Oryzias latipes: one gene and its partner. The protein of the gene in region 2 purifies or fractionates together with the protein of the main gene of each other region. This does not show direct contact. Links are inferred from orthologs where the notes say so. Each region holds a gene or a part of one and is shown on either strand. Other genes may lie near its edges.

Evidence for each region. Proteins that work in one complex are often made in the same cells at the same time.
Region 1: the proteins of sgsh (region 2) and sumf1 purify together in Homo sapiens (co-immunoprecipitation; 3 studies listed by BioGRID and IntAct, with this or other methods). This does not show direct contact. The link is inferred for Oryzias latipes from reciprocal best matches to the Homo sapiens genes SGSH and SUMF1.

What each region holds. Positions count from the first base shown.
Region 1 is NC_019863.2:26,833,809-26,837,308, forward strand, and holds part of sumf1 (sulfatase-modifying factor 1), read left to right. Parts: intron 1-1,677; coding exon 1,678-1,851; intron 1,852-1,931; coding exon 1,932-2,006; intron 2,007-3,230; coding exon 3,231-3,313; intron 3,314-3,446; coding exon 3,447-3,500.
Region 2 is NC_019859.2:28,826,338-28,828,546, reverse strand, and holds part of sgsh (N-sulphoglucosamine sulphohydrolase), read right to left. Parts: intron 2,141-2,209; coding exon 1,937-2,140; intron 1,030-1,936; coding exon 866-1,029; intron 790-865; coding exon 572-789; intron 1-571. UniProt on the Homo sapiens protein: Catalyzes a step in lysosomal heparan sulfate degradation.

The DNA of each region.
Region 1 (3,500 bases), on a different chromosome or scaffold from region 2:
GGGGTTTATACAAATCTACACTCTAGTTTCTTGAAGCTATATAACCTCTTTTTGTGATAGTAAAACCTGTCCAACACAAAAAGCCTTCAGCTCTAATCTGTTTGCTCAGCTGTTGGACAGAACAAGTTAAAAAAAAAAAAAAAAAAAAAAAAAAAAAGAACAAGATATTTTGGTGTTCTTGAATATAACCCAGATATAAAACAGTTAATTAAGTGAACTAATAAAGATGTTTAAACGTAAATAAACCACACTCATCCTCTTTTATACTGAGCCCAGGAACTGACGTGGGTAAAATAACACTTAAATTTCTGCCATGTTTATAGTAAATCCACTAGATATGAGTTGGGAAGTCATTTGTTTTGGTGCCAAATAGAAGTTTAAACAGTAAACTGATTCTTGTCAGCGTTTTGTAAGTACGTTTTTTTTTTTTTTTTTGTGCAGAAAGATGTTTATGTAGTGTATATTAAACAAACTAGCATTAATGGTAATCAGTCATTAACTCAAATTTTTTACTAAATTTTAAAATAATTTTTGAATTATATCACCTCTAAAAATGGAAATGCATAAAAAAGGAGATAATTGTGTGTGTGCATACAGCGGGGAAAATAAGTATTGAACACGTCAACAATTCTCTCAAAAAACACATTTCTAATCGAGCTATTGACACGAAATTTTCACCAGATGTCGGCATCAACTCAAGTAATGCACACATAGAAAGAAATCCAAACATTTATGTCCATAAATGAAGTTATGTATTCGACTGTTTTCTCCATGCAGGAGGCGTCTTGAGGCTGTAATCACCAACAAAGGTTTTTGCACTAAGTAGTAAATAAATTTCAGTAAGCGTGTTCAATACTTATTCCCTGTGCCATTTCACTTAATTACACATAACTTCATTTATGGACATAAATGTTTGGATTTCTTTCTATGTGTGCATTACTTGGGTTGATGCCGACATCTGGTGAAAATTTCGTGTCAATAGCTCGATTAGAAATGTGTTTTTTGAGAGAATTGTTGACGTGTTCAATACTTATTTTCCCCGCTGTATCTGTATATTTTCCTATATATGTGTATCTGAAACTTAATGAGTACTCATTAGAGGGAGCCGGATATAATAGATAGTGGGTGCACAAGGAAATAAGATTGGTGAAGGGCATGGGAATGAGAACTTATAAGGCTTTTACTTCTTCTCACTCACTTCCAGTTATTTGTTGTATTTTTTCATTTTATTTTGTCATATGTTTCCATTTAAAGATTCACTCCGATCATCTTCTGATCTATTTTTAAAGCCTTCCCAGTGGTCTTTTACTTATGAATTGTTTTTATCCCCGCTGTTGTTTTCTAGTACATAGTTGCAGAGCGGCAGTATTTGATTAGAAATTCGTCTCTTGAGTTGTGGAGGACTGTTGGCGGAGAGGAATCCCGCCCCCCTTCCCTGTCTGCTGCTGATTGATGATTTGAATAACGAAATACTCTGAAATAAATTCTAAGCCTAAATTATATTATATGTTCCCTATCGTCAAAAAAAAGCCACAGTTAAATGTTGAAAATACCTTTTTCATTAGAGTGGGGCTTTAAAAATACGTCGGAAAGAAAACATTTTCATCACCATTTTCATTGTGTTTCTTTTATTTCTGAAGTTTCTCAGTCTAAGTGACATTTTAATGCCGCCCACAGATGGCGTGGATTTCTGGAGGAGAGTTTCTGATGGGAACAGACCAGCCTGGCATCGCTGCAGATGGCGAGGGCCCACAGCGGCCGGTGCACGTGGACTCTTTCCACATGGACATTCATGAAGTAACCAACCGACAGTTCCAGAGCTTCGTCCGTGCCACAGGGTACATCACTGAGGTAATTCATGTTTTCAGATTTAGAAATGAGTTTTGACTGTGATCCTGTCTTTCGTTCAAACGCTTTATCTTTTGTGTCAGGCGGAAAAATTTGGAGACTCGTTTGTATTTGAGGGAATTGTGAGCGAAGACGTCAAAAGCCAAATCAGCCAAGCAGTAAGTCCATTCACTGTTCAGTTTCCATTCATCGCCCAGCAGCAAGCTCCATCTACAGTCTAAACTTAGATGGGCTTTCTTCCATCAAGAAAACACCAACTGAGGACACAGCAACATTTTTTACTGCCCCACCCCGCACAGAACTAGGTGATAGCTGACAGATGCAGGTGGTTATTATGGTGGTTGCTATCGGAATGTGCAGCATTCAAGTGCCAGGGGTGGAAAAGTTCACAGATCCGAGTCAGGTTAGGTCAGGTCCCTGCTTCCTGGTTTCAGATTTCCTCGTGACTTAGAGGAATTCATCAGGAAAGACAAAGTGAGAGCACTCAAAGTATTAAAGCTTTGATGCCTAGAGCTAGTCAAGCTTGTGCCAAATTTAGATTTATGTTTAAATTAATAAATGAACAGGTTTCTTTGGTCTTAAAATGACACATAGAATTTAAAAAGTGTACATAAAAATACTAAATAATTAGGATGGAGTGCTTAAAGCTTTTCTTTACTCCGTTTTCTTTTAATTAGACTTACATTTACATGTTTTTTAAGATCTCCTCATATTATCCTTCCTCAGAGAGTATCTCTTTGCTGAATGCATGTGTCTTGTTTCCTATAAACAAATCCAATTACTGTGATTTTGCAACATCTTGCTTTGGATCTAAAGAGAAATTTGTTAGGAGCAATTATTAGCTAAAACAACAAAAAAGGCCTTTGCATTCTTTACAGGAAGACTGCATGAATCAGTTTTGACATAGAACTTTTATGAAATGTAAAGAAAAGTAAAAGTATTTTGAACATTTATTTCAGATTTCTGTCTTTTTAGATACATTTTTTTAAATATAATGCGAAGTTGCCATATAGGTTACAATCAAAATAAGATAGTATGCTGGAAGACTTTTTCAAGTATCTTATATCTGGTAAAACCAAAGTATATTCTGCTTTATAAAGCATCCAGCGTGTTCATGGGTTGGCTACAGGGGCCTCGACACCACAGACCTCTCCCAGATGAAAGCCAGACGCAGGGAATTCACTGCTTCATCTCAGCTGTCAGGTGCAGCTTCAGCCTGAGAGGCATCACTGAAATCTGTGCCAGCCGTTACTGGAACTATTGTGTAGAGAGTTTGCATCAAACCCGGAAACATGTCTGTTGACTTAAAAAAAATGGAGGAGAAAAACACAATAAAACACCAAAATCCGTTCTTCCTTCTTCAAAACAACAAAAAAAAACAGGTGGCTGCTGCCCCCTGGTGGCTTCCAGTGAAAGGGGCGAACTGGAAGCACCCTGAAGGTCCAGACTCCAACATCACAGACAGGCGAGTACACAGTTCAGGATCCATATTACAACACTTAATTTTCTAACCACTCAGAGTTCATATGCAGACTTTGCTTTATTAAGGGAAACATTTTGATAAAATTGAGTGTGCTCATTAAAGCTGCTTATTGCAGGATGGATCATCCTGTCGTTCAGGTTTCTTGGAATGATGCCTTGGCTTACTGCTC
Region 2 (2,209 bases):
TCTGTTATTCTGAAAGTGGATGCATCAGAATGGAGCGGAGCCGGGAGCCTGCCGATTGTAGGTTAAACTTCACACCTACATGCTTTAGCCAACAGCATTTCTGCATCTGCTCACCACGATTTCAACATAGAAATACTCCAATTTCTTACATTTCTTTACGTCTTCCATCCTGAGAAATGTGCCACAGGAACATGTTAAAAACACCAAAAACAGGATTTCTATTGAGTGGGTCTCTAAATTCAGGCACACGTCCATCACATGTTTTTTGTTAAACACATCAAGCTTTTTTTTTTTAAACACCCGATTCAGAGTTCATCCATAGATTTAATATTTTTTTAAGCATTCGTGGCTCGTCTGATGACTATTTTGCTTTTTCCAACATTAATCATCTTTTTTGACCAACATTGAACTTTTACAGTTAATGTCAGGCATTAATGTCGTCTTAGATTTGTTCCTTACGATGTCCCACAAACATGAGGAGGAGCAGATGAATGTTTGTAGATATTCTCTGGATCAGTGCTTCATTTCTACATCATTTCTCATCCATGAACCCTCCCAGAGTGGGACAGACCTGGTGTCATACAGCTCCCAGCGCTCCCTGTAGTAATACTGCTCCAGGCTCTTGAACCAGTGGGTGGGCTCACGGCTCCTGGTGCGGTTCAGCAGGTCCTGAAAGGTGGGGGACACATACAGGTCTTGATCTATGGGGAAGGGCATGCGGTAGTGCAGGTTGTGGAGAAGGTGGTACGCCCCCTGGAGGACGGAGCGAGTTGGGTAGTACATGGTAACCTGAAACGAGAAAAGCGTGGCAGTGAGGGGGGGCTGTTGGTCTCCTACAGGGCTGAGCAGCAGGAGGTGGGCCGACCTCGTGCAGGGACTGGCTGCTGAACACTGTAAACCAATCTGTGGGCTCGGCCTCCAAAGCAGGCAACAAGGAGCGGCCGGTGAGGAGGACTGCCGCTGGGCTGCCGGGGAGGCGGTACAGGGGGTACGGCACAGAAAACCAGTCCAGAATGGTGGGGGTGATGTCTGTGGTACAACAACAACAACAACAAAAAACACAAAAGAGTATGAGCAAAGAAAAGATCAGCAAAAACATTTCTGGGGCAGTCACATCAGAAATCTGTGGATTTGTCACATTTTATCTCAACTATATTTGAATGAAGGTTGCTTTTATCCCTTCAGTTTCTCCAAGCTGCTTTTTTCCCGTCCTCGGTCGCCCCCCTGTGGCTGTTCAAGAGCATTGCAGGAGAAAAGAAGGACGAGAGCGTCACATTAAAATCTTTCTACAGCTCTCCTGAACCACGCCGGTATTTCTGTCCGGTCTGGAAGTTTGGTCTTTTCTCCTTGCAGTTCTGTCCCATGAGCTCCACCAGGAAGACTTCAGCTGATTTTTTTTCCTTTTTGGAAGAGAAACGTCGGCAATCTTAGGAAGAACTTTGTAAGGACGGTGCATGAATGTCAGTGAAACGTTCTCTGACCACTGTCTTCTATCAGTCAGGAGCCAATCTGACAGGAAATCAGAGTGGACAGAGGTTTCTGAGTTGGAGGCTGAGCATGCTGTGAGTGTGTGTGTGTGTGTGTGTGGGGGGGGTCCTGCTCTGTTTCTCATGTCTTGTTGCAGTTTCTATTCTTTTTGATCTTTTGACTTGGGTTCTGCACGTTCAGGTTCTTTCTCTTACAGAAACTTTGTTTCTTCTCGTTGGTTTTCTCGCAGATGTGCTTTCCTGTCTTCCCTGACCCCCTCCCGCAGAGGCAGACCTGGGAGGGGTAGGAGGATTGTCTGAAATCTCAATTGGTCCCAGTTATTCTGATCGATTAATGAAACTTTCTAAATGATCTGGATGAAAAGATTCAGCCGCTCTGTGGGGGAGTCACATGTTCATTTACCATGAAGCCCATCTCCCTCACCACCCCCCACCCCCATCACCCTTACCTAGCAGGCTGACGAAGGCCTGGCTGCTTTCCCCCCAGCGTTCCCTGCGCTCCGGAGACGACACCAGCATGGGCTCTGCGGTTCCGGAGTGATAGAGATTGGTTCTGCCATTCGGGAAAGGGATGCCGTTATCTGAGCTGTAGATGATCAGGGTGTCGTTCTCGTAACCCGCCTCTCTGAGCTCCTCCAGAACCAGCCCGATACCTGCAGGAGAAATGTGCAGCTTCAGCGTTTGGGCTTTTGTTTTGGCGTCTCTGCTCTGGTGCTGGTACT